Ovis aries: one gene and its partners. The protein of the gene in region 2 binds, or shares a complex with, the protein of the main gene of each other region. Links are inferred from orthologs where the notes say so. Each region holds a gene or a part of one and is shown on either strand. Other genes may lie near its edges. The genes, in order: CLXN, ODAD1, ODAD4 and ODAD3.

The links.
Region 1: ODAD1 (region 2) and CLXN share a complex: the UniProt entries of both Homo sapiens proteins name them as parts of the outer dynein arm-docking complex. The link is inferred for Ovis aries from reciprocal best matches to the Homo sapiens genes ODAD1 and CLXN.
Region 3: ODAD1 (region 2) and ODAD4 share a complex: the UniProt entries of both Homo sapiens proteins name them as parts of the outer dynein arm-docking complex. The link is inferred for Ovis aries from reciprocal best matches to the Homo sapiens genes ODAD1 and ODAD4.
Region 4: the proteins of ODAD1 (region 2) and ODAD3 are in contact, whole or in part, in a cryo-EM structure (PDB 9CPB), measured with the Bos taurus proteins. The link is inferred for Ovis aries from reciprocal best matches to the Homo sapiens genes ODAD1 and ODAD3. Residues at the interface, in XP_024834988.1 of Bos taurus: Leu31, Gln32, Gln34, Cys35, Met38, Glu41, Arg42, Tyr45, Val49, Arg52, Ile53, Gln56, Leu57, Glu59, Ile60, Leu63, Glu64, Val66, Arg67, Leu70, Arg71, Gln73, Ile74, Ala77, Gln78, Asp86, Arg89, Leu90, Ser92, Met93; in NP_001095517.1 of Bos taurus: Gln69, Leu73, Lys76, Ile77, Leu79, Leu80, Asp83, Arg84, Phe87, Tyr88, Thr91, Asn94, Ile95, Asn98, Gln99, Thr101, Ile102, Leu105, Arg106, Glu108, Thr109, Leu112, Gln113, Gln115, Leu116, Leu119, Gly122, Asp123, Val126, Ala129.

What each region holds. Positions count from the first base shown.
Region 1 is NC_056062.1:32,838,762-32,846,674, reverse strand, and holds the start of CLXN (calaxin), read left to right. Parts: upstream 1-3,919; 5' UTR 3,920-4,016; coding exon 4,017-4,074; intron 4,075-7,913. UniProt on the Homo sapiens protein: Component of the outer dynein arm-docking complex (ODA-DC) that mediates outer dynein arms (ODA) binding onto the doublet microtubule. Seems to regulate the assembly of both ODAs and their axonemal docking complex onto ciliary microtubules.
Region 2 is NC_056067.1:54,787,848-54,795,104, reverse strand, and holds the start of ODAD1 (outer dynein arm-docking complex subunit 1), read left to right. Parts: upstream 1-3,646; intron 3,647-3,908; 5' UTR 3,909-3,948; exon of another isoform or gene 3,949-4,310; 5' UTR 4,311-4,333; coding exon 4,334-4,403; intron 4,404-5,605; coding exon 5,606-5,705; intron 5,706-5,863; coding exon 5,864-6,053; exon of another isoform or gene 6,054-6,414; intron 6,415-7,257. UniProt on the Homo sapiens protein: Component of the outer dynein arm-docking complex (ODA-DC) that mediates outer dynein arms (ODA) binding onto the doublet microtubule. Involved in mediating assembly of both ODAs and their axonemal docking complex onto ciliary microtubules.
Region 3 is NC_056064.1:41,851,217-41,858,377, forward strand, and holds part of ODAD4 (outer dynein arm-docking complex subunit 4), read left to right. Parts: intron 1-275; coding exon 276-434; intron 435-756; coding exon 757-953; intron 954-5,285; coding exon 5,286-5,386; exon of another isoform or gene 5,387-6,059; intron 6,060-6,966; coding exon 6,967-7,051; intron 7,052-7,161. UniProt on the Homo sapiens protein: Component of the outer dynein arm-docking complex (ODA-DC) that mediates outer dynein arms (ODA) binding onto the doublet microtubule. Plays an essential role for the assembly of ODA-DC and for the docking of ODA in ciliary axoneme.
Region 4 is NC_056058.1:13,530,709-13,537,869, reverse strand, and holds part of ODAD3 (outer dynein arm-docking complex subunit 3), read left to right. Parts: intron 1-423; coding exon 424-545; intron 546-652; coding exon 653-730; intron 731-2,706; coding exon 2,707-2,877; intron 2,878-3,432; coding exon 3,433-3,534; intron 3,535-3,634; coding exon 3,635-3,760; intron 3,761-3,970; coding exon 3,971-4,093; intron 4,094-4,835; coding exon 4,836-4,988; intron 4,989-6,588; coding exon 6,589-6,749; intron 6,750-6,835; coding exon 6,836-7,061; intron 7,062-7,161. UniProt on the Homo sapiens protein: Component of the outer dynein arm-docking complex (ODA-DC) that mediates outer dynein arms (ODA) binding onto the doublet microtubule. Involved in mediating assembly of both ODAs and their axonemal docking complex onto ciliary microtubules.

The DNA of each region.
Region 1 (7,913 bases), on a different chromosome or scaffold from region 2:
GAGACATTACTTTGCCAACAAAGGTCCATCTAGCCAAGGCTATGGTTTTTCCAGTAGTCATGTATGGATGTGAGAGTTGGACTGTGAAGAAAGCTGAGCACCAAAGAATTGATGCTTTTGAACTGTACTGTTGGAGAAGACTCTTAGAGTCCCTTGGACTGCAAGGAGATCCAACCAGTTCATCCTAAAGGAGACCAGTCCCGGGTCTTCATTGGAAGGACTGATGCTAAGGCTGAAACTCCAGTACTTTGGCCACCTCATGTGAAGAGTTGACTCACTGGAAAAGACTTTGATGCTGGGAGGGATTGGGGGCAGGAGGAGAAGGGGCCGACAGAGGATGAGATGGCTGGATGGCATCACTGACTTGATGGACATGAGTTTGCGTAAGCTCCGGGAGTTGGTGATGGACAGGGAGGCCTGGTATGCTGTGATTCGTGGGGTCGCAAAGAGTCGGACATGACTGAGCAACTGAGCTGAACTGAACTGAACTGGTTTATTGGAAGGACTGATGCTGAAGCTGAAACTCCAATACTTTGGTCACCTGATGTGAAGAACTGACTCATTGGAAAAGACCCTGATGCTAGGAAAGATTGAAAGCAGGAGAGGGGGATGACAGAGGATGAGATGGTTGGATGCTATTACCAACTCAATGGACATGAGTTTGAGCAAGCTCCGGGAGTTGATGATGGACAGGGAGGCCTGGGGTGCTCCAGTCCATGGGGTCATAAAGAGCCAGATACGACTGACTGACTGAACTGAATTGATGCCACCCTCAGTAAACCTCAGGCATTTGGCCTCCCCACCACTCACTTGCTTAAGATTCCAAAAAGTTACCAGAAATGTGTTAATAGCAGTGAGTGTTGAGTATGTATTTCAGGAAAATGTCTTCCTCACTCCCCAGCCCTTTAATGTCCCTTCTTGGCATTCTCCAGGATAGGCGCTGCCGAGGAAGGGCTCCAGGCTCCACCTGCTCAGGAACTCCCAGTTCCCTCTCCCTAAGTGTGGACCACGGAGCATGGGCTGTGCTACGAACTGCAGAAGGGTGACAGCGGACAGACACAGGGATTCAGAGATAAAACAGACACAAATATGGGGGGAAAGCAGGATCATGTGATTCACATTCCAGTGGGTAGACATATCAGAGAGCCATCACTCACTGTGGGAAGTGCTGGAACAGAATGGTCTCCAGGCAGATAACGATTTACTCACCTCTCTGAAGAGCTGTCCTGGGGGACAGGGGGAAGGACATGTGGGAGTCCTGGAGTGGGGAGACAGCTCCATGCTGTCAGAGGGCTGTGGGGAGCAGAAGGGGGGAGAGAAAGTGGTTAGAGATGGTCACCTGTCTAAAAGGTTGGCCACAGTCCCCCCAAAACTTCTCAGCACTCTCCCTACAACCTAAAACTGGTACAACTGGATATAAATTATGTAGATAAGTAACCTCTATATTTTCCTTTCATTAAAGTAATTTCATAGTAGATTTGCAATATACTTGGAAATCGATTCTGTGACGTCATCTCCCACAGTTTCCAAATGCCTCCATTATAAAAGGTCCACATTAAGTGAAATACTGTCATCAGTTTGACATTCAAGCTCTTTATCATGGCAAAACTTCAGTTAATTGTGAGTCTAAGAGGAGGCTGTTTTGCACACAAAATTAAAGGAAACACTCATAATCACTCTAATACACCATTGTATCCACAAAAGTATCCATCCCAAAGCTGTTCGAACTCTGGACAGTCCATTGGCTATTTCTTACACAGCACAGAGTGAGCCCAGTTTTTGATTATTCTATTACTGATTGACTTGATATGAGGTAACTGTTCAGGCTTAATTGCTTCACTCAGAAAAAGCCCTTGGGACGCAGTCCCGCATCTCTTTCACACAAGCAACTAAACCTAAGAACAGAAATTACAACCAGTCTCAAAACACACTCAGCAGACTCCATCAGGCCCACAGCTTGTTCTAAGGTATAAAAATACTAAGTTCAAAAAGGCACAAGAATGTAGAGAATGCTCTGAAGCTGGCCAACATGTGGACAAAACATACCTCTGATAAATACCTGCTTTCCCTGAGAAAGGTTTGCAAGACTGTACGGGTGTGAGGCCAGTTCCACAACCCACCCTCTGAGATACTAGGGAGATGCTATGACACGCTTGTAAAGTTCTGGCTAAAGGAATAACACAGAAGAAAGACCTGGGAGCGAGGGTGGGAGCAGGACGCCTCACCATGGTTTCTTGGCAGGTTCGGGATTTCTGCTGGTAGGACAGCTCTGACTCCTAATCAGGCTTCTGTCATACTGCCTTCCAGCGGCTCTTCCACTTTGAGGGAACATGGATGGTGGGACCTAGGCCTGAAAGCTGTGAAGGAAGAATTGATCTGCTCCCCAAAGGTGCTTAAGAAGCTTCCGGCACATGAAGTGTGCAGAGATGCGTGGACACATCAGATGGGCCAGCAGGGTGTCTGTTCAGCACACCTGGTAGACACAAGAGGGGCCAGCAGCTTCTCCTATTAACCACTACCACTCTTTCAGCTGCTTGTCTCTACGATGAGCACCCCAACAATCTCTATGGACTAAGTATTTGCCATATCTGACATCTGACAAGTCCCTAAGGTCTCACAGTGAATGTATCCGAATACATCCACCCCTATTCATTCCCTACAATCCTATTAGAAATGCCACACCTGCCCGACAAGACTATGCATAGGAATACCAGTTAGCCATTAACTGGAAAACTCACAATCACTATCATTTCATATTAGTTACTGTTCTCAAGGAATCTGCTTCAGGATAACACAGTGCCTGCCTTCCTCAAGCATCCTTGACTCTGGATTCAAACAGCATCCCAGTCTTCCATTCCATAACAAATGAAAAAAGAAAACAGAATCAGAGACCTGATTTGGAATCGTTACTCATGGTCGGTAGAATTTTTCTGCTTTCCATTTCACAATGATAGTACACACACTATAAAATAATTCATATTAAAAAGAATTACTGCTTCTGAAGTGAAACAAGTGACATGTTGGAGAATATTGTACAACCTTTTCCTTCTGGCTGAACTAACCCTTGTTACTGTCTTAATTCAAACACGGTGTCTTATCTGTGTTAAAAGCAGAAACTTCTCTCAGAGTAAAGATGTAAAAATTAGCCTTTGTTTGCAGTCAAAAAACTTGTCTTTCAAATAAGTAAAAGATTCATTTTGCTGGGATATTCTTCCAGAAAAGCAAATTCAGGTTGTACCCCAGAGCCACTGTCCTTTGTCAGCATGTCTTTATTTGGAAGGTTGACTCTATCCAGCTTAAAAAATTGCTAGGGGGTTTTCCCCATATTCGACTGACAGCCTCCGCGCCTACCTCAAGAATGAGCAGGGAAGGGAAAAAAATAAATAATTATTACAAGTTCCTCTTGCTCTCAGTAACATCATCAAAACCTTGAAGATATCTTGCTGCAGACTCCCTTCTGGCATCAGAGCAAAAGGACTGGCAACCTGAGAGCAAGCCCCTCACCCTCCCTTCCTGCACAGCTGTCGTCCGGATCCACGCCTGCTCATTCCTGCATCCCCCAGGTTCCCAGACCTCCCTGAGGACCTGGCGTCACGCTCACCACCCAAGACATCCCCGCACGGAGCGCAAAACAAAATTCAGACCTTGACTTACGGTGCAGCACAGCAAAGGGGTTGTGAATCCGAGCCAGACACACCTGGATGGTCACTCGCCGATGTCACAGTCGGAAAGCGGTCGGAGGGCGCCTGGCCCGATGCCCAGTGAGAGAGCTCAGACCCAGCAACCAATCAGCGGCCGCCCGAGGGTTGCCATGACCACGCCGCCTGTTAGGACCGCGCCCTCTCCTGCCCAGCAGCCAATCGGCGGCCGCCCAGACGTTGCCCCGGCCACGCCGCGTGTTAGGACAGCATACACACACAGGGGAGACCTGCCTGCAGCCCCAGACCCAGGGCTCGCAACCGTCCTGGCAGCCGCCGCCGGACACCGGCCTCTTCCCGGTTTCCTGAGCTCCCAACATGAACCGCAAGAAGCTGCAGAAGCTGACGGACTCCTTAACTAAAAATTGCAAGCATTGTAAGTAAGAATCAAGGGCTGGGCGGGCAGAGACTCCCGGGTCAGGCCCTATCCTGCGGGTGCTAGAGTCTGGTCTGCAGAGTCCCTCCACGCCTGACCCTAAAGAGAAGTCTGGAAGGGAACACTAGCATCAGCTACTTTGGGTGGACACCCACAGAGCCCAGGATCTTAGGGAGCGTTTCCAGGTGTCGAGGCACCAAATTCTACACTCATGCATGCACGTGCTTGCTTCTCAAACCTTCTCTTAACTTCCCCTTACCTTATAAGAAATGTGATTTAATTACCCTGAAGACGTATGTGGCCCTAGCCTCAGATTTAGGTGGAAAACAAGCACTAAAAACCCACTGGAATCAAGAGAAGTAGCACAACAAAAAGCTCTTCTTAGAGCAAACCAACTGGCAAGGTCCAAGTTCTGGACATTACTAAGCGAACCTTATGGGAAAGTGGTTATCAATGGTTGAACATCCTTAGGAAAGGTGGGTTAAAGCGGTACAGAAACCTGTATCTCAGGGCAAGGAAATGTGCCTGGAAACCAAGGAGCTCAAAAAAGCTAATCACACAATACAGTATCTGTTCCCATCTCTGGGGCCCCACTTTCCTGCAAAGTGAAGGAGACTTGGCAGGTGACAAGATGAACACCTATGAAAGATATTAATGTTAATAACCTCCCTACTCCCATCTCACACATATTCTGAAAAGTGGTCCTAGAATTTCACAGGTAACCTTATAATTGTATTCAGACTCAAAAACAGAACTGTGCTTGGGCAAGGAAGCTATGGATCTGGTATAAATATTTGATGATCCAGCTTATAAGTTATGTGCTTATTACAAAACTACTGGCCTCTTAAAAAGTACAAGAAACCATAATCCCAAGACTATTCCCATGGTGCAAAGAAAGAAGAGCAAACATGTTTTGATGTAGTTTTAAAGATTATGGAATCTAGTGCCTTCTAATCAGAGTTAGTATCTTATATAATGAGAGGTAGGAAAGTCTGTCAGGATGGTGCTGCAAATAAAAGTTATGGTATGTATAAGCATCTTAAACTCTGAAAATGAAAGTTGTCCTATAATCTATTATTATGGTTACTATAATCTGAGAGTTTTGTCCTATTGTTTTTCTTAAAATACTTTCATTTGTTGGAAAAGACCAGATTTTCTTAAAACATCTAGTCACATATTGAATGAACAATGCAATAACTACTATACACGGCAAACACTGAATCTGATTTAGTTCCTTTTCCAGTGTGTTTGCAAATGTATTGCAGACATTCTGTGAATATATTAAAAGATAAGTGAAAACGGGACAAGAAAACCAGTCAACAGTTTTGATTTTTGTCCTTCACATAAAATTTTTAAAGTAAGTCTTAAGAAACTTGATGATTAAATTCTGTAGAAACAGTGAGAATCCCGGGCCAGGCAACTAATCATAGACGTTGTAATAATTTTGAAACTTTACACAGAAGACCTTTCTTCTAAAGTCAGATTTCCTTTTAGTTGCCAGGTGATGTTCCCAGCAGGATGAAGTGAGTAGATTTTGCAGAATCAGAGAAGAAAGTATCTTAAGTGGTGGTCTAGTTAATCCACCACCTGGCAGATCTGATCTGCAGAGCAGACTTACACCAATCTGAAAAGATGAAAAATCCCTTCTCCGATGTCCCTAATTTCATTTAGTATTGTATTCTTGAATTTAAGAAACATTTCAGCAAGAGAATTTTTCCTGTGGAAAAATTACTCAGCTTTGATACTTTGGGTAATAAGCTAATATTCTTTCATTTTTATTCAGCTGAGATGGGAAAATGGCTAATCAACACCCCCTCAGCTAGCATTTCATATACAGGAACAGATCGCATCATCTTTCATGCAAGTCTCTCTTCTCTAACCATTAACATCACTTTTTATTTTTAGAGTTTTTACTGTGGTTAAACACACACAATGTATTACACAAATTGTGTATTACACAAATACACAAAATGTATCACTTTAATTATTTGAAGTGCACAGTTCAGTGGCATTAAGTACATTCGTATTGTTGGGCAGCCATGCCCCTCATCATCTCCAGAACTTTCCCATCTTCCCAAACTGAGTCCCCATGAGACTATTGGTCCCTTCCTTCTCCCCTGGCCCCTGGCACCCACCACCTACTTTTTTGTCTCTGTGAATTTGACTACTCTGGGTACATCATAGAAGTACAATCATAAAATATTTGTTATCTTTGTTGGCTTGTTTCACTCTAGCATGTTGTATTCAAGAGTTATGATATGGTAACATGATTCACAACTTCCCTCCTTTTTGAAGCTGAATCATAGTCCATTGTATGGATGGACACCCATCTACTCATCCTTCCCTGGACACCTGGGTTACGTCCACCTTTTGACTGTTGTGAATACTCCTGGTATGAACACTGGTACACAGGTATCAGAGTCCATGCTTTCAATCCTTTGGGGAAAATACCCAGAAGTGAAATCACTGGATTGTGTAGTATTTCCATGTTTAAGTTTTTTGAGGAAGTGACATACTATTCATACCATTTTCTGTGGCAACTAACAGCTCTTTTAAAAATTATAATCACTGTATCATTGTCTACTATTTATCAATCTATTTACTAAATCATTTATTTTCTGAAGTTTTCAATGTTCCTCTTAAATTGTGGTGCCCCAAACCAGAAATCACCTTCAAACCTGTCCTGGCCTAAAAGACGAGATGGGATTTACCCGCTTCTCTGTGCTGTTTCCTTGTACATGGACACATCTTCCTTGTTTTTAAAAATGCTCAACCACAATTTTGTCATGTTTTGAAATAACATCTTCCCCATCTTCCACCTGTAGTTCATATTTAAACTCCTTTTTATGTTCTTAACGCCAGACACTAATCCTTCCAGCTAGGCACCTCAGATGGTGCTTGGGACACAATCAGCTCTGTGTTTACTGGGCCACCCTTTCCACAGTCATGCACACTGCAAGCAGGCACGTGTGTGCACACGCTTTAGACAAAAGTGTTCTTCCTCCAAGGTGCTGCTCTGTGGTTGCCTGTTCATTTTCACATCACCCACAGCCCACACTTCCTGTGTGCTAGCATATGCTTAAATCCTTTATTGGAAAATAGGTGATTCTGATTTCCAAAATCTGACTCATGGCTTCACAAAAGCTAATGTGAGATGCAAGTTGGTGCCTAGTGTGGGGGAGATTGGTATCTATCTCCAGGGGAACGCTACACTGTAAATCTCATGAATGCCTGTAATCAAAATGCTGCAGAGGGCTTCCCTGGTGGTCCAGTGGTTAAGAATCTGCCTGCCAATGCAGGGCACACAGGTTTGATCCCTAGTCTGGGAGGATCCCATAGCCATGGAGCAACTTAGCCTGTGCGCCGCAACGATTGAGCCTGTGCTCTAGAGACGGGGAGCTACAACTACCCAAGCCCTTGTGCCCTAGAGCCTATTCTCTGCAAGAGGAGAAGCCACCGCAGTGAGAAGCCCATGCACTGCGACTGGAGAGTAGCCCCTGCTCGCCACAACTAGAGAAAGCCTGCACATGGCAGTGAAGATCCAGCGCAGCCAAAAATGAACAAATAAAGAAAATTATTTTTTTTTAATGATGGGGAAAATTACCATTCTTCACATCACCATGCTCACCTCTGCTGCCTTGTTCAGGTTATAATCAGACCCCACAGTTGCCTTTCAGGTGACCTGGCTGATATTATCTTTTTTTTTTTTTTTCCCAAATATGACAGCCTTAGTGCATGGGAGGGATGGCTGTTGTTTCTGCTGTGGCGAGACTCTGGGGTGGTGGGGTCCTCTGTTAACCTGGGGGTCATGAGTCTCAAAGCAGGGTCGTCTCCTGTCG
Region 2 (7,257 bases):
CCCACCTCTTTCCAAGCCTCCACCCCAAGTGCCAAGAGTTCACTTCTTAAATTACAAGGATTTCCAAGCTTCACCCAATCTGGCAAGGGGGTGAGGGTGGGGGTCTCCTTTCCAAACTGCTGCACACCCAAGTAAAGAAAGAAATCACAGGCTGAATAACGGATTGAAAACTTACCGAGAGCGGCAGAAGTCAGATTTGAGTCCGGTCCCTTGATCGGGCCTCCGTGCCCCGCCCTTCTCTTCCCTCCTTCCACCCTCTCCAGGCCCCCGCCTCTCACCGCCTTTCTCCCTCCCTCCCTTTCTGGCTCTCTCTCTCTTTCTTCCCTCCAATTCCGGAACCCTTTCTTTCCCTCTCTCTCTCTTTCTTGCCTTCTGCCTCTTGTCTCTCTCTCCTGTCCTCACCGTCTGTACCTCGATTCTCCTCCCTCTCTCCTCATTCTCCTGGTTTCTCTTTCTCTGGCCTTCTCAATATATACTGACCCTTTTATACCCACCGCGCCCAGCTGAGGTCGGCAGCCAGAGGGAGGGACCAGTCACTCGCGTTCCTCCTTTTCTGGGCCCCCACCCACTGCCCCAACAGGCATCTTCTGGGGCTCCCCGTCCTGCGGTGGAGATGACACGTCCTTGGAGGAAAGGAAACAGAGCTGGGGCCCTTAGGTGGGGCAGGCATATCGGGTGGGAGGATCTGATTCTCAGGCCTCTGCTCCTGGACTTGTCCCGGGAATCGACATCTGCTTTCCCTGATGGGGCTTAGGACTGGATCCTCAGGGGGATGGGTGTCTGGGCGGGGAGACCAGATTCCTGCCAAGGGGAGTGGGCTGAGGACTTGTGGGGTTGGCACCCTGGTGGGAATTGGGATGGGAAATGGGGAAGTGTGGAACTCCGGAAGGGGGCAGGAGGTGGAAGTTAAGAACCCAGGGCTACCGTTTCCTGCCTAGGGGACCTTGACCAATTATTCCAACTCTCTGAACCTCAGTTTCCTAATCGAGAGTTGGGCACAGTACTACTTATACTGCTGACTATATACTAACGGCAACGATAACAATTCTGATACTTACTCTAAACAAACAAGGCGATACCACTGCACTAACACCCCTAACACATTTTTTCTTTTCCTCATCAAACATTTATTGAACATCTATTATGGACCAGGAGTTAATAATGAAGAAAACAGACGCGAGCCCTGCTGTTCTTATGGAGTTTACCTTCTAGTTGAGCAAGAGAGAGAATGACGCATCAGTACAGTAGCTAGACTTCAGGTGGTGGTAGGGCTTTGAAGGAAATGAAATACAGTGACACTGCTGATGATGGGAGGCAACTTTAAAAGGGTGATCCGGCAAGGTTTTTCTAAGGAGAAACCTCATTCTGAGATGAGACTTGAAGACAAGAGTTATTTGAATGCTGGAGGGAGAGGAAGGACACAGGATTGGAGAACAAGCTCAAGTTGTTTGGGGAGCAGACAGAAGAGCCAGTGTGGCCGGAATATAGGGAACTAGAGGGAGTGGTAGGAAGGGAATTCAAAGAGAGCCCTTGAAGCCTAGGGGAGGAGTTTGGATTTTATTCTAAGGGTGGTGGGAAACCATTGGCGGTTTTAAACAGAAGTGCAGTACCAGGGACTTAATGTTATGAATAACTATTATTGTTATCATTATTATTTATTTTTAGATTATTGAATAAGTGTGGGGAGTGATTACCACTATGTACCTGGGTCTCTATGGAGGGTTGGGTGCTTGGTGAAAAGCAAGGGACAGGGAGCCAGGTGTCTGGGGTCCTGATGTGGAATTAAGAGCTGGAGGACTGAAATCTTGGTCCCCACAGGGGAAAGGAACTGGATGATGGGATGGCTGGGTATCTGAGGGAGCCACAGGGAGAGGGAGGGAGAGTGGTTGGTTATCTGGGCTCCCTGAGGGGGTGAGGGAGGGGCAGTTCAGTGACTGGGTGGTACTCCTAACCCTAACCTGGAAGCTGTTACCACTATGACATAGGCTTTATTCATTATCTGTGATTTGGGGCAGGTTATTAATCTCTCTATGCCTCAGTGTCTTCATCGGTAAAATAGGAATAATAATAGTAAATACCTCAAGGAGCAATGCTTAGAGGAGTGCCTGGCATAGAGAAAGCACTGTTGTACATGCATGTTACATGACACACTGGGACATGGGAGATGAGGTGTCTGGGATTTGGAGAAGGGACAAATGCTTGGGTCCATTGGGTCCCAAGTCTAAAAATTTGGGAGTACAAAATGAAGGTCGCTGGGGGTGGGTAAAGTAGTTACATCTTTGAGAAGGACAGAGACTGGGGGTCTGAACTCAGTTCTCCAAGTAAATTAGGAAGCCTGGGTCACCGGGGGAAAAATGAGGGACTAGAGATCGTTATGTTCTTCAAGGAGGCAAAGGGGCTGGACCTGAGTCCTGGGAGGAGTCTGGGAACCAGGGGCTATAGAGATGGAATTTGAGCGGGGGAGGTGGAGAACAGGAAGCTAGGACTCTGAATCAAACTCCTAGAGTGGAATTAGCGCCAGGTTGGGGTACCCTGGAGATGTTCCGGGCAGGGGGTCCCCCATGCTAGGGCCCTACAGAAGGGGGAGAATTAGGGTAGCGGAGGGCGGTGGTGGAATCTTCCCCTCCTGGGCCTCCAAAGCCACGAGCTGAGCGCCCGCGGGCCTCTTCCTCCCACAGGAAACCGCAGGCGTTGGGCACACCCAGCCTGCAAGGAGCGGCGCCCACAGACAGCAGGCTCTGCGAAGGCCCACGTGGGCAGCAGGCGGCAGTCAAAGGGGGGGGCGTGCCCTGCGGAGCTCGGGGGCGTGCCCGGGAGGGCGTGACCGGAAAGCAGGGGCGGTGCGGAGCGCCCTAGGCCCCGCCCACTTCCGCCTCGCAGAGCGCGGACAGCTCCGGCAGCTGAAGGTTTTGGCAGTCTCTCCTGAGGCCGTTGGCCGCGCATGCGTAGTGAGCGGCTTCGAGGACTTGAGGCAGTGGTAAGCGCTCCTCTCCCTCACAACTCCCGGCATCGGTACCGCCTGCCTGCCAATGAAGCCTCAAAATAACGTGGTCTTAATCAGCTTAATACACGCATCTCTCGCGCCCCATCCTGAAGGACTTCGGCCCAGTTCCAAACCCTTCCGGACGTTCCCCTCCCAGCCCTGCCTCCACAAGCTCTTTCAGCTACTGCCTCTCCCTCTTGGAAACACACAGCCTACCCCTCACAACCCCGTGCTCCTCACACAGATCATCTCGGCGGTTACCCTCAGCACCCCCTACAAGTCTTGGGAACCTGCGTCCTTCCAGCGCCCTCCCGCCAGGTCTCTCACGTGTTCTCCCAGCCACGCCCCTCGCCACCCCCCGAAGCCCCACCCCTCACAGGGCCCGCAGCCCTGCCCTTTACAGGTACTCTTGTCCCTCCCCTCTCAAAGCTCCGCAGCCCTGCTCTGGACCGTTATCTGTGTCTCTGCCTTCGTCAGGTCCCGCAGCCCCAGCCCTCTCCAGTCCTTCAGCTCTGCTTTTCCCTCGCTAGCCCCGAAGCGCCGCGCCTCAGGCTCACGCAATTCCCCTCTCCTCAAAGGCCCCTTTCGGCCCCGCCCATCCTAGTCCTCCACAGCTCCGCCCCTCGCCCGGCCTACAGTCCCGCCCTTCACAAGGCTTACAGTTCGGCCCTCACAGGCCCTCCCAGCCCCGCCCCTCGCAGGACTCCCGAAGCCCCGCCCTCAGCCCCGCCCCTCGCAGCACCCCCGAAGCCCCGCCCTCGTAATGCTCCCCTAACTCATCTGTTCTTAGCACCTGACCGTGAAGGCTTCGTCGTGGCCTCGTCGGCCCCTCCTCCCTAGCCTCCCCTCCCACGGCTTTCTTCTGTGGCCTTGGTCCCTCCCCGGATGCTGTCCTCACACCTTCACTGGCCCCTTATCTCCCCAGTAACCAGACCACAACAGTGAGCTTGGAGTACCCAGGACAGGTCAGGCATTCCAGCAGGTAGGGACCGGGCCTCGCTCTCCTCAGCCGACCGGGGCTGGGGTTTCCCCTGCCTCTGTGATGCCTCCTCCCCAAACAGCCCCACCTCGGAGATACCGAGGGTCTAGAGGACCCCGTGCCAGAGTCAGAGCCGTAACGCAAGACAGAATGTGAGAGGTGGGAGGTTGGGAGGGGCTTGGGAAGAGATCTGACAGGTGCCCCGCTCTGACTCACTGGAGGAATTGAGACTCAAAAAGAGGCCAGTTCTGGGGTCACCCTCTTCCAGTGCCTAGTCCCTCGCTGTTCATTGCCCACCCTCCTCGCCCACTCCTCACCGTCTGAAGGGGTCCTGTGTCGCCCCTACAGGAGCCTCACCCTCTTTGGCCAAGATGCCTTTTGGACTCTCGGCTGGGAGCACTCGCTCCGAGGATGGAAGTGAGGCCTTCCTGGAGGGAATGGGTAATTCCTACTTTCTTTATTTCATTCATTCTTTCCCCCGGTTTTCCCATGTTTCAGGTCCTGTGCAGCGGGGCCCTGGGGACCAGGAGGGTTTTCAGGAGCGCCCTCTAGTGGCTACACACTTGCTCCAGAATGGAGGTGGAGCCGGACCTGGGGAGTGGGATGGCTAGAAAGGCTTCCTGCAGAAGTTTGAGTGAGGCCCAGAACTTCTCCCAGGAATTACCAACAGGAGAAGGAAGGGAAGAGTGTTTCTGCAGAGAGAACAGGATGTGACTAAAGCAAAGTCTCTTTACCTCCACATCGTTGACCCTTGGGGTCAGGGATCAGATCATTCTTGGATATTAGGGGGAGGGTTCTGTGCACTGGAGGATGCGCAGTGCTCCTCTGGCTTCTACCCACTGCATGCCAGTAGTACCCTCCCGACCCTCCCCTACACTGTGGCAATCAAACATGTCTCCAGACACGGCCAAATGGCTTTAAGGGGTCAGAATTGATCCTGGTTGAGAACCAGGCCGTGGGGGATGGGGAGCTAGTGGATGGGACCAGAGAGGTGGGTAGGGTCGGGTTTGTGGGGCCTGGAACCCAGGCTGTGGAGCTGCAGCTTTGGAGGTGCTGGAGCACAGGGAGGTCTGTGACCGCTCTAGGCATGGAAAGAGCCTCTGGAGCTGTGAAGGGAGGCCAGGAGGTTGGGGAGGAGGCTGGGGTGATGGTCCAGGCAAGGGAAGGTGAGGCCTGAGCCAAGGGGATGGGCTGAGAGTGAGGAGGCGGGAGGGTGGGGCTGAGGAAGGGTGGTGGTGGGGTTGAACAGGAAGGATGTAACAAGAAAAGTGTCCCCCCCCTTCCCCGGGAACTTGGCACATGTCCCCAGCTTTCCCAAGTTCTAGGTCCTGTGCTTCTGGTCCCTGAGGACTGTGAGGCTTCCCTGGAGTTCCCTCTAGTGGGGAAACAGAGGCATGCCCAAACCCTGGATAGAAGTAGCTTTGGGGCCGGGGAAACGCGGAGGTCAGCTTAGGGTACAGGCAGTATGCAGGGATGAGGAAGCTTGAGAGATACAGGAACTGAGAGGCAGCCCTAGAGTGGTGCGGGGGACTGGGTCTGCAGTTTAGCTGCAGTTGGTGAGCCCCTAAGGGAGCCAGAATTCCTAGGGTTGGAGAGGGAGGGGCTGGATTCCTATGAATCCCTTGCCTGGTCCCGCGCCTCAGTGGACTGGGAGCTGAGCCGACTGCAGCGACAGTGCAAAGTGATGGAAGACGAAAGGCGAGCCTACAGCAAAGAAGTCCATCAGCGCATCAACAAGCAGCTGTGAGCCTGGGTCCCTGGAGCTGGGGAGGGGGCTGTTAAGGAGGTGGGGGGTTGCATTCCTGGGTCTGAGAGGGGAGGGCAGGCTCAGTCTGTCTGGACTTCAGTGATGCTGAGCTCTGCCCGGTTCTGGTTTCCCCTCCCCCTCCCTGCCTGGGCAGTGAGGAGATCCAGCGCCTGGAGGGGGTGCGAAACAAACTGCAGGTGCAGATCAGCGTCGCCCAGAGCCAGGTCAGGCGGCTGCGGGACAGCGAGAGGCTGGAGAGCATGGGCCACCTGCTCAAGTGCCAGGTCCGGGTGCAGGCCGAGGTCAAGGAGCTGCAGGCGCAGAACCAAGCCCTGGACAGGCAGGTGGGTCCTGGGGCCAGACTCGGTGGGTCCTGCTCAGGGTCAAGTGTCATAACCTCTTTGAGCCTCACCTTCCTCATCTGAAAAGTGGGGTTATCGAAAGCATCAAAATGGGATCGTTTCAATGGGGTTATTGAAAGTTATTGAAAGCATCCTCTCAAGGGAGTTTGTGTTCAGGCTCCCATAGGAATTATGAGTCTTTACTGCTTAGCACAGCCCCATGCCTTCAAAAAAGCGGTTAAGAGGGCAAGAGTCACCTTCTGGAGTCAGTGCACCCTGCATTATAATAGAATTTTGGTCCAGGCGCATCAGAGCTACGTGACCGTGGGCAAGTCATCTTCTCTCTGGGCCCGAGTTTCTTCATCTGCAAAAAGAGAATGTGGGTAATGCAGCAGAGTCTAGACCGACTTTTCATCCTGTTGGCTTCAAGATCCTGTTATTTGACCCTGGAAACGTGACTTTTCTAGGCGAGTGTTTTTTTCAGTTTTTAGGACCAGGACTCACTGTGACACAGTTCATTTACAAAGAGATGCATATGGATGTAAACACACATACAAACAAATATGTCAGAAACAAAAGTTTCCCCAAATAATATTCTTCTCCACATGGGATCCATTATATTTTCTTTCTTTTTTTTTTCCATTCTATTTTCAATTCTACTCTTCATTTTAAAAAGTTTCTTGCCAAAAGACTTCCCTAGAGGTCCAATAGTTAAGATTTTGCCTTCCAATGCTGGGGAGTCCTGGTTCAATCCCTGGTGAGGGAGCTGAGATCCTGCATGCCTTGGGCCCAAAAAACAAAACACAAAGCAGAAACAATATTATAACAAATTCAATAAAGATTTTAAAAATGGTCCACATCAAAAAAATCTTAAAAAAAAAGTTGTTTGCTGAGACCAAAAGATTTCTTGCACATTACTGGATCACAAATAGGAGATTGAAAGTTAATTATCTTGGTGGGCTGTATTAGTTTGCTATTGCTGCTGTAACGAATTACTGCCTACTTGACTTAAAGTGACTTAAAGAGAACTAAAGAGCCTCTTGATGAAAGTGAAAGAGGAGAGTGAAAAAGCTGGCTTAAAGCTCAACATTCAGAAAACTAAGATCATGGCATCCAGTCCCATCACTTCATGGGAAATAGATGGGGAAACAGTGTAAACAGTGGCTAACTTTATTTTGGGGGGCTCCAAAATCACTGCAAATGGTGA
Region 3 (7,161 bases), on a different chromosome or scaffold from region 2:
ATGGAGGATGGAAAGGCTATCCACTTCAGTATTCTGGCCTAGAGAATTCCATGGACTGTATGGTCCATGGGGTCGCAGAGAGTCAGATGTGCTTAACCTTAAATTATTCATTTGGAAAATATAGAAAATTAGATGAGGAAGTCTTCAGTCCCACCATCCAAAGACAAGTGTTCATTCTGATTCTCCTCTGACTTTTATTGATATTTTGTTTTTTCATCCCAGTCTTTTTCATTGTGTTGATTTTCTCTTAAATGTGCTTAATCATATTCTTAAAGGTTATGTGTGGCCTTCCCTGGTGGCTCATATGGTAAAGTGTCTGCCTGCAATGAGAGAGACCTGGGTTCGATCCCTGGATCGAGAAGATCCCGTGGAGAAGGAAATGGCAACCCACTCCAGTACTCTTGCCTGGAAAATCCCATGGATGGAGGAGCCTGGTAGGCTACAGTCCTTGGGTTTGCAAAGAGTCGGACACAACTGAGCAAATTCACTTTGACTTTCAAAGGTTATGGAGTTATTTCAAATGCTATTTTACAAGCATTATTTTCAACTGTGGTATCAAAGCCAATTCTATAGATGCACCAAAATAACCCTGGTAGTTTAAAAAATATGATAGTGCTTGTTAGCTCCACTCCTGCACCTAAAAGAACTGGTAGTTGGAGGACAGTTTTCCTTCTGCCACCAGTAGGAAGCCCAGCCTCCTAAGTCCGAGTACAGGGCCTGAGTGGAGGACTCTGACCCAGTTCTTGGTGTCTCCAGGTGGGAGGAGAAGATCCCTCTGGCCAAAACCACCCTGGAGAAGACCTGGCTGTTCCATGAGATTGGCCGCTGCTACCTGGAGCTAGACCAGGCCTGGGAGGCCCAGAGCTACGGTGAGAAGTCCCAACAGTGCGCCGAGGAAGAAGGGGACATGGAGTGGCAGCTGAATGCCAGCGTCCTGGTGGCGCAGGCACAAGGTACAGTGCCCTTCCCAGCCCTCAGGCCCTGCCGTGACGCCCGCGCTGAACTTTCCCTCCTGATGGGCCAGACAAATCCTGATTCTGAGAGTGGGGATAAACCCCCGTGTTTTGACCAGTGTGTATAGTGCCTACTCTAAGCTACACTCAGTTAGGGCTTGGGAGACCCAGAGAACTGCCCTGCCCTTGAGGAACTCAGCTGAGCTGCAGGCAGGCCAGCACAGTGTCACATCCTCATCGAAACAGCTGCACTCCTCTTGGCTCAGTAGCCTTTATACATGCATTCTCGCTGTAATCACTCTGCAAGCGAGTGCTGGAGGTATTGTCCTCCTTTTATAGGCTGGGAAACGGAGACTCTGAGTGGTGCTGCAGATTGCCCCAGGTCTCGAGAGGGCGCTTTTTTAGGGGGCTGGGAAAGTCCTCAAGCTGAGTTGTGGTGTTCATTGCACAAGTCTATAAATTTTCTAGAAATCATTGAACTGTGTACTTACAAAGGGGTACATTTTATACTGAGTGAATCATATTTCAATACAGTTAATGGGCTTGTTAATAAAACAGCAAGGAATAGGGGTGAGGAGGAACAGATGGAACAGGATTGGCAATGTTCTGATAATTTTTAAAAACTTTTATATTAGAATATAGTTGATTTACAATGTTGTGTGAGCTTTAAGTGACCAGCAAAGTGATTCAGTTATGCAAATACATATATCTATTCTTTTCAGATTCTTTTCCCATGTAGGTTATTACAGAGTATTGAATGGAATTCCCTGTGCTGTGCAGTAGATCCCTGTTGATTATCTATTTTATATATAATGCTGCTAAGTCGCTTCGTTCGTGTCCAACTCTGCGCAACCCCATAGATGGCAGCCCACCGGGCTCCCCCGGTAGTGTATTAATATATATGTTAATCCCAACCTCCTAATTTATCCCTCCCCACCTTTTCCCCTTTGATAAGTTTGTTTTCTGGGTGTTTCTGTTTTGTAAATAAGTTCACGTGTATCATTTTTTTAGATTCCACATGGAAGTGACATCATATGATATTTGAATCTAGGTGATGAGTAATGGGGATTCATGATACTATTCCTTTGACTTTTCTGTATATTTGAAATATTTCACAATACAAGTTTAAAAGGAGAAGTAGCTCTAGGCCACAGTAATAAGGAAGCCGCGGAGCTGGGTCTTCTGTTCAGTTTCGGACCTGCCCTGCCCTGGGCACACGGCTGACCCCAGAGAGGGGGTAAGCATGACAGGCACTCTGATCACGGGTCTCATCACTCATTCACTTACTCACATCATTAATGCTTTCCTGGCACCTTCTAGGCACCAAAGCTGGGCATACAGTAGGAAGCAAAATTGGTAACTGTTCCTGCCCTCCTATCTGAGGAGTGACTATTTTTTAATATTTATTTGTTTGGCTGCACTGGGTGTCAGTTGCAGCACATGGGATCTTCACTGTATCACGTGGGTCTTTCACAGCTAGGTACTCCTTTGTGGTGTGTGGGCTTGGTAGTTGCAGCTTGTGGGCTTAGTTGTTCTGAGACATGTGGGATCTTAGTTCCATGGCCAGGGATCGAACCCTCGTCCCATGCATTGCAAGGCGAATTCTTAACCGCTGGATCACCAGGGAAGTCCCTGAGGAGTAACTTTAAAGCAGAATCATTAAGAACACAAAGGCACCAGTTCCAAGTTCTGAAGGCAGAACTTTTCCGCCAAAGGAACCGCATTTAGGGAGGTGGGCAAGAGTTTGGCTGATTTAAGAAACTGATGGAGACCAGTGTTGAGCTTCTGGGGGCCAGGAAAGTCTGGAGGAGGGAGGCTGGTGAAGAGCCAGATCCACAGGGCCTCTCAGGCTTCCTTACACATCGTGGATTCTTTCCTAAAAACATAGAGGAAAAAACCACTTGAAAGCTTGAAACTGGGGAAGATGTGATTACTGTGCCTTTTCCTAGAACCCTTTGCTGTTTCTGTGATGACTTTTTTTGTGTTTGCTTTTTGGCTGCACTGCAACAGGGCTTGTAGGATCCTAGTTCCTGACCAGATAGTGAACCCGGGCCCTGGCAGTGAAAGCGTGAAGTCTTAACCACTGGACCACCAGGGAATTCCTGTCCCTGATGAGGTCTTGTTAGGCTCTGAGGGCCTCTGGAGGAGCAGGCCACTCACTACTGGCCTCAGTTTCCATGCTGTATGGTGGAAAAGTCCAGTCCAACACAGCAGCCAAAGAGCCCCTGGGTTATAGAGGCAGCCTGGCCAAGCGGGCAGATCTTGGGCTCTGCAAATAGGGATAATTATAGTATGTATGCTAGAGAAGGAAATGGCAACCCACTCTAATATTGTTGCCTGGAGAATCCCATGGACAGAGGAGCCTGGGAGGGCTACAGTCCATGGTGTCACAAGGAGTCGGACACGACTGACACGTATAGTGTGTACGTATCTTCTTCATAGTGTGAAGACATGAGGTAATGGCTGCGCATGTAAGCACTTAGAATAGGAACCAGCATATAACAAGCTCTCAGGAAATACTCATTTCTTCCTTCCTCCCCATCAGCTTCCCATAAGTGTTTCCAACAGTGGTAAGAAACAATTAGTCCCTGGAAAAGCCAACAAAAATATGGATATACCTGTGTGGATTTGTGGATGCACAGAGTGAGGAAAAGAAGAGGAAAAGGGCCCCCAGAATGGAGATAATTTCAGGTTATAGATTCAGTTGAAAACAAATAGAATGGTCTTTAATGCTTCCACTCACTTGAATGTTGACTCCTATTCTGACCTACCATGTCAGAATGACGTAGACATTTATTCATGGAGGCCTCTGAGGCATTACTGTGAGTTTTCTTCTTTTCAAATGTGTATTTGAGAAAGAAATGTATGTTGACGCCACAGACTTTTCAAACTATGCTAGAATCACCTTTCAAATGTAATTGCCTTTTGCAATTTGAGCTGTGGATCCAAGGCCCTTCTTTCCCCAGGAATCCTAAAGCAGTTTGTGGGAGAGGGGTAGATCTTGGGGTGCTAGTTACAAGAGGAAGCAGTGGAGGGACTTCCCTGGAGGTCCAGTGGCTGGAACTTCATGCCCCCAAAGTAGGGCGCTCGGGTTTGATCCCTGGTCAGGGAACTAGATCCTGCATGCCACAACTGAAACCCAGCACAGCCAAATTAATTAATTTTTTAAAAAAAGCGGAAGCAGTGGTGTGTAAAGAGAGTGAAGTGTGGGGTTCCCAGCCCTGGCAGGCGAGCACTTTTCTCCTTCCTTCCTGAAATTAAGGTTTTTCCAAAGGCAGTCAGTTCATAGCCCTCATCCCTGGCCCAGTGCTAACTGGTCAGGTGAGTACCCTGGGGTGGGTGGGGGGCTGCTTCCTTCCTGGGTTCAGATTATTCCAACATGGGCACTGATGTCCCAGCCACTGGCTCATGAAGAGTCACATCCAGTCCTGCCAGATTGTGTTTGGTGTCCACAGTGTTCTTAACAAATCTGAGTAAACATTAAAAAAGAAAAAAAAAAATAGATGTCTTCTCCTGGAACCATTTAAAGATGGGGTATAGTGGGAATTCCTAATAATGTAATTTCATGGCCTTGAGAAATTTCACAGAAATAGCACTTGGAATAACAGCATATATTAAGAAACTATATTGATGATTCTTTTTCATGTCTTCTTAGAGTTATAGCCTTGTTACAAACCCCAGGGCCAGACCCAGAAGGTATTATGACTGGGATCATAAAAGCATACAGCTTGGAATGCTGGGTCAGCGTCAGGCATGAACGCTGCCTACACACTTGCTAATTGTTCCCAAGACCAGCCCAGAAGGGAATGGACTGGGGTAAACGCAAGGAGCTCTGGACTATGTCAGTGTAGTCCATGCTGTTTAGGAGTATGTGATTGATACGGCATGTGTCTTGAGAAAGATAAGATCTGAGAAAGTCTTATGGTCTGCAGTTAGGGATAAAAGCTGGATTCAGAGTGGACTCTGCACCTCAGTCCAGTAGAGGCTGCTGGTCCCCTGACCCATTGCACCAGATTTCACATTCTGTCTTCATTCTCGTCGCTCACTCCCAGACCATTAGGGCAACAGTGGGGCAGGATGGAGTTGTCCCCCTGGAGACACGTGATGTGGGCACAGACCCCTTCCCTCACTGACTCTTGGCACCTGAAATCCAAGGCTCCAGTGCCCAGGTTCTGTTCCCTAGTGGTGAGGTGGCCCAGGAAATGTCTGGAAAGGGTGGCGCTGGGCAGCCTGGTGTTGCTGCTCCTGAGGGCCCCTGGTACCCTACTATTGTACCCTGAATATGTACACTGATATTATGTCACTATCCTCATGCTCCCTTGTGCCCTTCAGTGAAGCTGAGGGACTTCGAATCGGCCGTGAACAACTTTGAGAAGGCCCTGGAGAGAGCAAAGCTGGTCCATAACAATGAGGCGCAGCAGGCCATCATCAACGTGAGCCTCTCTCTCTGGGGCTGGGGATGGGCAGGCCCCGGGACCCTCAGCCCCAGATGTTTATTTCCCCCCAACCGCAGAGCACCTTCTAGGTCGGGCAGTGGCTTTCCAGTGTCTGTTGTTGCCATCAGTTTATATAGCAACCCAACCAATACACATACTGTTAACTTTGTTTTGGCCACACTGCACAGCAACTTAAGGGATCTTAGTTCTCCAACCAGGGATCGAACCCACACCCACTGCAGTAAAAGTCAGCATCCCAACTACTGGACTGCCAGGGAATTCCCCTCAATACACATAGTTTTATTTGAAAAAACATGAAAAATAGCAAGTTTTACAAAACATATTTACCTTTATTGTGTACACTGTATTTCTTACTCTATTTTCTTTTTTCTTCTCATTCCTTGTCTTTAATGCTGGCTGAGACCCTGTAAACTGACTTTAGGACTTGCGCTTGGAAAAGTGCAGCCCCCACAGAAGATAATAGAAAAGGAGCGTGATGGCCTCACTCACCAGTCCAGACTTGCGCTGCTCAGTCAGGTGGCCACTAGCCACCTGCAGCGTTTAGCATAAATGGAGTTAGAAGTAAACGAGCGTTGCAGTTCAGTTCCTCAGCCACACCAGCCACATTTCAAGTGATCAGTTGCCACGTGAGGCCTCTGGGTAACACAAGGTGCAGATCTAGAGTCTTTCCGGCATTGCACCAAAGGTGATGACGTGGCCCTGGCCCTCGGGAAGCTGAAAACACAGTCCCTCACTCCTGACTGGTGCGGCAGGGACTAGGGAACTCAGACTGAGAACTCCAGCGGGCAGGCAGAGCTGGGCCTTTCCCCTCACGGAGGCGGAGGTTTCGAGGTCACCTCGGAGGCTGGGCAGGGCTTTGAAAGTAGGAGACAGAGAGAAGTGCCCATCAAGCCAAACAGACGCACGGCCCTAAATGGCTCCTCAAGGGACCTAGTCCCTGACCTCTCACCCCCTGATTGGCATCTCCAGGCAGGAAAGCATACCAAGGGGCAGACTGCACTGCCCAAGAACATCCAAGCCTGGCGATCCAGGGGCTGTAGACATTCCCTGAGTGTCTAGAGGTGTTCCACCCACGGCAAGTCACAGGGAGGGCTGCAAGAGAGCAGCGTTGCCCTCAAGAAACAGCACAGGCTGAGTTCCCAGTCCCTGGCTGTCCTGCAGAGGCCCTGGAAGCCGCTCTGAAGGCAGGCCAGCCCCCAGCCCCACCCCCACCCACGGTGTGCTGCTGAGTCCCCTCCATGGCTTGCTGCCTGGCTGCAGGCTGAGGGGCTTGCCTTGTCTCCTTTAATTTGGCTGAAGCTTTAGGAATCAGCAGACAGACGCAACCCCTTAAAACATGCCTGAGTCTGAGGGAAATGAGTTTGAGTCACCCCCAGTGGTGTATCTCTCATACCACTTAGCGTGGGGAGTTCCAAGTCCATAGGATCCATGAACCTCAGGCAGGAGTAGTCAGAGGAGCCAGGAGGAAGGGGCCGGGGGCAGGGTTGGGGCTTGGGTGGGGAAAGGACAGGTCCTACAGCGTTAAGAGAGTTCACTGATACTCCTCTCACCCACAGGCCTTGGATGATGCTAATAAGGGCATCATTGAAGAGCTGAAGAAAACCAACTACAGGGAGATACTCAAAGAAAAGAAGGAGAAAGGTGAGTTTTGGAGCTGGAAGACGGCATCTTCAGAAACCTGCCTCTGCTCTCCTTCCAGTTGTCCTCGCCCCGCTTCCTGCTGCCCCATCAGTTGGGCTTGGCACTGCCCA
Region 4 (7,161 bases), on a different chromosome or scaffold from region 2:
GAACTAAGATCTCACATGCAGTGCAGTACAGAAAAATAAAAGAAAAGGATTAGTCCAGTATCTCTACGTGCATGCTCAGTCACTCAGTCGTGTCCAACTCTTTGCAACCTCATGGACTATAGCCCACCAGCCTCCTCTATCCATGGGATTTCCCAGGCAAGAATACTGGAGCCAGTTGCCATTTCCTACTCTTGGGGATCTTCCTGGGCCAGGAATCGAACCTATGTCTCCTGAAGCTCCTATACTGGCAGGTGGATTCTTTACGACTGATCCATCTGGGAAGCTCCAGTCCTGCATCTAATGCATGACAAATGCTCAGAGTAATATTGTTATACTATTGATACCTACTAAAAGATCTTCCCTCTGGGAAGTCCCCCCTTCCGTGATGCTCTGCTTCTGCCTGCCCACCTCACATGACCCCAGAGGGTGACCGGAAGGCCTTTTATGAGAGCACCCAGTGGAACATCAAGAAGAATCAGGAGACCATTAACCAGCTCCGCGAGGAGACCAGGGTACTGCAACTACAGTTGACAGCCCTGCTCCAGGTGAGGTGGACGAGGTTCCAGGGGTGGGGAGGCAGCGTCCCCAGGGGGTGCTCTCAAGGAGAGGGTGGCCGGAATTTGTATTGTGACCCAGGCTTTCCTCCCTGCAGGGAGATGAGAAAGTGGTCCAGGCACTGATTCGAGAATGGAAGTCAGAGAAGCCGTACCTGAAGAACAGGACAGGCCAGGTTTGCCTCACTCCCATTCCTCTGACCACCTCCCTTCATTTCTAGCCTGGGTCCCCACCTGACTCCCTGACCCCCATCTCACCCTCTCCAATCCCTTCTCCACACCAGCTGCCATTAATTTATTTCTCAGTCTTTCTCACACACTGACCATGTGCCTGGCATGGCTTTAGGTATTGGTTGCCATATGGTGAAAAACACAGACCATGTCCCCACTCCTCAGAGTCATCTCAGTGGAGAAAGCAGACACCCCCCACCCCAAGAAAAGAACAATAAACATACAAAGAAAGTGATTTCCAATGGTGACAAGAGAAATAAATAAAACAGAGTGGCTCACTAGAGATGGATGGGGGTTAGGGGTTTGCCTTTTAGATTATGAGGTGGAGATCTTTGCTTTCTTTAGGAAGGTGATCTTTGAGCTGAGAAGGGGTCAGGCAAGTAGTGATCTGGGGGAAAGCATTCCAGACAGATGGAACAGCAAGTGCAAAGTCCCTTGGGTAGGAACAAAGGTAGAGTGTTGGAGACACAAAGGAGGTCATTGTGGCAGAATGGGAGTGAGTGAGGGGGGCTCCATAGGCAGCGAGGTTAGGGGGGTGATCAGGGACAGAACCTTGCATCAGGCTTTGCTGCACGAGTGCAGATTTTATACTAAGAATCAGAGAAGTGAAGGGACTTCCCTGGTGGTCCAGTGGTTAAGACTCTACACTCCCAATGCAAGGGACCCGGCTTCAATCCCTAGGCAGGCAACTAGATCCCACATACCACAATTAAATATCCCATGTGCTATAACTATAGACCAGGTGTAGCCAAATAAATATTAAAAAAAAAAAAGAGAGAGAAGTGGAAAATGGGCTCTGAGGAGGCAAGAGTTAGAAGCCATCCAGAGGAGGTTATCAAAGTGAAGGATGATGCTGGCTACACTAGGCCAAAAGAGATAGAAATGGGAAGAAAGAGATCTATCTGGCTCAGTCATATCCAACTCTTTGCGACCCCATGGACTGTAGCCCACCAGACTCCTTTGGCCATGGAATTTTCCAGCAAGAATACTAGAGTGGGTTGCCGTTTCCTCATCCAGGGGATCTTCCTGACCCAGGGATTGAACCCATGCATCTACTGCCCTGCAGACAGATTCTTCACCACTGAGCCACCAGGCTCTCTCTGGAGGAAGCTTTGAGACAGAATAGAGAATTGCTAACAAACTGGGTGTAAGTGGGAGAGAAAAAGAGAAGATGAGGCTGACGTGAAGGTTTGGGACTTGAGCACCTGGAAGGACAGAGTTGCCATGAGCTGAGATGAGGAAGATTCGAAAAGGGCAGTTTTGGGGAAAGATCAAGGATATACTCAATTTTTGACAGATGGTTTTTGAGCTTCCTGTGGAGACATCTAGAAGGCAGTGTAGATGTGGATATACGAGCCTCAGGGGGGAGGCTAAATTGGGATATCTTCAGTGTAGAGGTGGGGCTTCCCAGGTGGTGCTAGTGGTAAAGAAGCCACCTGCCAATGCGGGTAGGCATAAGAGACGTGGGTTGGATCCCTGGGTCAGGAAGATCTCCTGAAGCAGCGCATGGCAACCCACTCCAGGATCCTTGCCTGGAGAATCCCCATGGAAAGAAGACCTGGCGGGCTCCAGCCCATAGGGTCGCAAAGAGTCGGACATGGCTGAAGCCACTTAGCATGCACTCATGCAGTGTAGACGTGACTCAGAAAACCCTGAGGCTGGATGGTATCAAGTGGTATGTGTGGTCAGATGAAAGAAGAGCCTCTCAAAGGCAAAGGAGATGGGTAAGGGGCAACCAGGGCGGTGGCTGCCCACCTGGAAACCAGCCCCCCCACCCAAAAAAAAGAGAATCTGCAGGAGAAGCAGGATCAGCCAGGTTTCAGAGGCTCTACCAAGAGACGAGAGAGATGAGAACCAAGACGTGGGAGAAGGAAGGACTAGGTGGGGGTTCAGGCCCCCACTGTTGCTTCCCTCTCTCCAGCAAGCCCTGGAGCATCTGGACTACCGGCTGAACGAAAAGGTGAAGCAACTGAACGCTCTTCGGCACCAGCTGGGCCTGCGGCAGAAGTGGCTGGAAGAACTCCAGCTGCAGCACAGTCTGCGCGAGCTGGAGATCGCCGAGGCACAAGACAGCAACACCGAGATGGCCAAGGTAAGGCCTGCCGGGTCTGCAGAGGCCCCGATCCTGCGGGAGGCGCTGAGCGGGGAAGGGATCCAGCCCAGGCTTGCTTCCCTCTTGTTGTTGTTCAGTTTGCTCAGGCGTGTCTGGCTCTTTGAGACTCCATGGACTGCAGCACACCAGGCTTCCTTGTCCTTCACCATCTCCCCGAGTTTGCTCGAACTCTTGTCCATTGAGTCAATGATGCCATCCAGACTCATTCTCTGTCACACCCTTCTCCTGCCTTCAGTCTTTCCCAGGATCAGGGTCTTTTCCAGTGAGTCTGTTCTTCACATCAGGTGACCAAAGTATTAGAGCTTCAGCTTCAGCACCAGTCCTTCCAATGAATATTCAGGGTTGGTTTCCTTTTAGGATTGACTGGTTTGATCTCCTTGCTGTCCAAGGGACTCCCAAGAGTTTTCTCAGCACCACAGTTCGAAAGCATAAAGAAAGCAGTCAGCCTTCTTTATGGTCCAACTCTCACATCTGTACTGGAAAAACCATAGCTTTGACCTTTGTTGGCAAAATGATGTCTCTACTTCCCTCTAGACCATGCGGAACCTGGAGAACCGCCTGGAGAAGGCCCGGATGAAGGCAGACGAGGCTGAACACATCACCAGTGTGTACCTGCAGCTCAAGGCCTACCTACAAGTAGGGACCAGGGCGACTGGGGGTGGGTGGGGGGCAGCACATGGGAGGGCCAGTCAAGTTAGGGACATCGGTCACAGGCTCAACCATCTCTCACCCCCAGGAGGAGAGCCTTCACTTGGGGAACCGGCTGGACTTTATGGAGGCTGAGGTGGTGAGAACGAAACACGAGCTGGAGGAACTGCACCTCGTGAATCAGGAGGCGCTCAACGCCAGGGACATCGCCAAGGTGCCAGCCCACCGGCCCCTGGGAATCCTGCCCTGCCACTGCCGTGGTCTCCTGGCCTCAGCATCTGAACCCCAGCTGCCCCGAAACCCATCCCGTCTCTGTCCCAGGACCCCACACCTTGCCGCAGTTGTCTTGAGTTGGGCCTGCAGCCCTGGCCCAGAGCCCCAGTAGACGCCAACAGGTCCTGTCGTTCCCCCGTCCACCCTCCAGAACCAACTGCAGTATCTGGAAGAGACCGTGTTCCGAGAGCGGAAGCAGCGCGAACGCTACCTAACCGAGTGCAAGAAGCGCGCGGAGGAGAAGAAGCTGCAGAACGAGCGCATGGAGCGCAAGGTGGGCGCGCTAGGGACACGGCCGAGACCCCAGCGTGCTCCTGCCTGGATCGGACCCGCGGGGTCCCCGCCGCGCCCCTGCGTTGGCTCAGGCCCTAGACCCTTCCGCAGTCCGCAAGTTTCTCCTGACTCTGCCCCCAGCTCCCCAGATGCCAGGGCTCCTCCCACATCCCTGACCCCGCCCTCCAGCCCTCCCCTTACTCTCCTGGGGTCCTCATCCTTCCCCCCAAACTTGCCCATATCCGAAATTGATCCCCACCTCTAACCGTCCCCTTATCCGACAGGCCCCGCCCCCACGCTCCTGACCCACCCCGCTGACGATGCCTCTAAGGCCTCCCTCTAACCAAGGCCCTGCCAAGCACTCCTGACCCCTACCTGGATGCCTTGCGTGTGTGCATGCTAAGTGGCTTCAGTCGTGTCCAACTCTTCGACCCTATGGACTGTAGCCTGCCAGGCTCCTCTGTCCATGGCATTCTCCAGGCAGGAATACTGGAGTGGGTTGCCATGCCCTCCTCCAAGGAGATCTTCCCGACCCAGAGATGGAACCTGCCTCTCTTGTGTCTCCTGCATGGGCAGGCTGGCTCTTTACCCCTAGTGACCCCTGGGAAGCCCTGACTTGGCCCCAAGCTTGGGCCCACCCCCCTTTCTGAACCCGGTCGGGAGATATTTTCCCAATGCCCCTGGCCCCTGCCCTAAGCCTCAGCTGCGGACTGACCCGGGCCCTGACCCCCACCCATGAGCAGACCCAGCGTGAGCATGTGCTGCTGCAGTCTGACGACACGCTCCAGGACAGCATGCACTCCAAGGAGGAGGAGCTGAAGCGGCGCTGGAGCATGTACCAGATGGAGGTGCTCTTCGGCAAGGTCAAGGACGCCACCGGCGTGGCAGAAACGCACGTGAGTGTGCCCTCAGCCCTCAAGTTCCCAGATGGCCTGAGCCGACCCTGGGAAGCCGACGAACCCAGCCTCCTTTTTTTGCCTGGTCAGTTCTCAGCGTACAAAAAAAGACACCCCTCCCTCCTTCAGCTGCTGCCCCGTTTCTCTGCTACCTCTCACAGCAAAAGTGACACGAGTTATCTACACTGGCCACCATCCTGTCTTCTGTTCCTTATTTTAAAACATTATTTTGTTTCTTTATATTTGGCTGTGCTGGGTCTTCACTGTTGTGTGGGCTTTGCTCTAGATGCTGGGAGCAGCGGCTACTGTCTAGTTGCTATGCTCCATGGGCTCCTCATGGCAGTGCCTTCTCTTGTTGCAGACCACAGGCTCAGGAGTTGCAGCCCCCGGGCTCTAGCGCACAGGCCAGGAGTTGCAGCCCCCAGGCTCTAGCACACAGGCCAGGAGTTGCAGCCCCCGGGCTCTAGCGCACAGGCCAGGAGTTGCAGCCCCCAGGCTCTAGCGCACAGGCCAGGAGTTGCAGCCCCCGGGCTCTAGCGCACAGGCTCAGGAGTAGTGGTGCACAGGCTTAGTTGCTCTGCGGCATGTGGGATCTTCCCAGACCAGGGATGGAACCCATGTCTCCTGCATTGGCAGGCAGATTCTTTGCCCCTGGACCACCAGGGAAGCCCCTCTCTCCTGTTCCTGCATACACTGGCCCTGACTTCTTTGGCATGTCAGCACTAGGAGAATGGGGAATGTTGTCTCTCCTCTCCTGTATCTTCAGCCTCTATAGCAGGGTCTGGGGCCCAGTACCAGCCTCCATCCCAGAGAGGCTGGGCCCCTACTCTAGGACCCGCGCTTGGCAGCATCTTCCTCAAAATTTTCTAAGACTTTAGGTCCCCAGCTGTGAAAGTGTGAAAGTATTAGTCGCTCAGTCACATCAGACTCTTTGCGACCCACGGACTGTAGTCTGCCAGGCTCCTCTGTCTGTGGAATTCTCCAGGCAAGAATACTGGAGTGGGTAACCATTCCCTTCTCCAGGGCATCTTCACTATGCAGGGATCAAACTTGGGTCTCTGACATTGCAGGCAGATTTCTTTATCATCTAAGCCACCATGGACGTCTCTGGCTGGTCAACACTAATTCCTCTGCATCCCTGTCTGATTTCTCTGTTTGGGGAACTCTCTAACCCACTACTCATCCCATGGGGTGACCCCCAAGGAGTTCCAGGACTTGGATGTATTGCGTCATCTGGAGCGCTATGGCCAGACGTCTTTCCAGAAATTGGCCTTGGGGTTGCTCCCACGACCAGTCATATTTTCTCATAGGAGTGGGGGTTGTTGGCACATTGATTTTGGAAAGCAGCTGTGCTCACTGCTGTCGCTGCCCCAACATCTGATTTTGGTTGATTCATTTTCCTTATATAGACAAAGAAGGGCCTGCAAAAATCATTCGTTCAGGGTTGCACACCCTTAAGGCAGCCCTGAGTCCAAGGCTCACAGAGACAGCATTGTGCAGAAGCCATCATCAGCTCAGGCGACTTGTCCCGCTCATCCCTGGGAAAGAAGGAGCAGGACAAGCCTCTGGTTCTGATGGGTCTCTCCGGGTCACCCCCCAGGCAGTGGTGCGGCGGTTCCTGGCTCAGGGTGACACCTTCACACAGCTGGAGGTGCTCAAGAGTGAGAACGAGCAGACGCTGCTGAGACTGAAGCAAGAGAAGCAGCGGCTGCAGCAGGAACTGGAAGACCTCAAGTACTCAGGGGAGGCCCTGCTGGTGAGGTGAGGCCGCATGGTGCCCGGTGGGGGTGAGAGTGGGGCCGGTGTGGTCAACAGTGCCCCAGTGGTGGTCCCTCTGCTCCCTACAGCGAGCAGAAGCGGCAGGCCGAGTTGCAGGGGCGCCTCAAGGTGGAGGAGCAGCGGCGTGCTGATGCTCAGGATCAATTGGACCGGACCGTGAGGGCCTTGCAAATTACCAAGGAGGGCCTGGAGCACCTGGCCGGCAAGCTGAACCACATCGTAGTGGCAGGTCCCACTGACGAGGAAGGCTCACCTGGAGCCTCCCTAGACACGAAAGGCAGTGCCACCCCACAGGTGGGGTTCCCACCCTGAAGTCCACTCCAGAGAGCCCACCCCAGGCCCTCTTCAGGATATGAGAAGCCTGAACACATGGGAAACCCCAACCCACACCCGA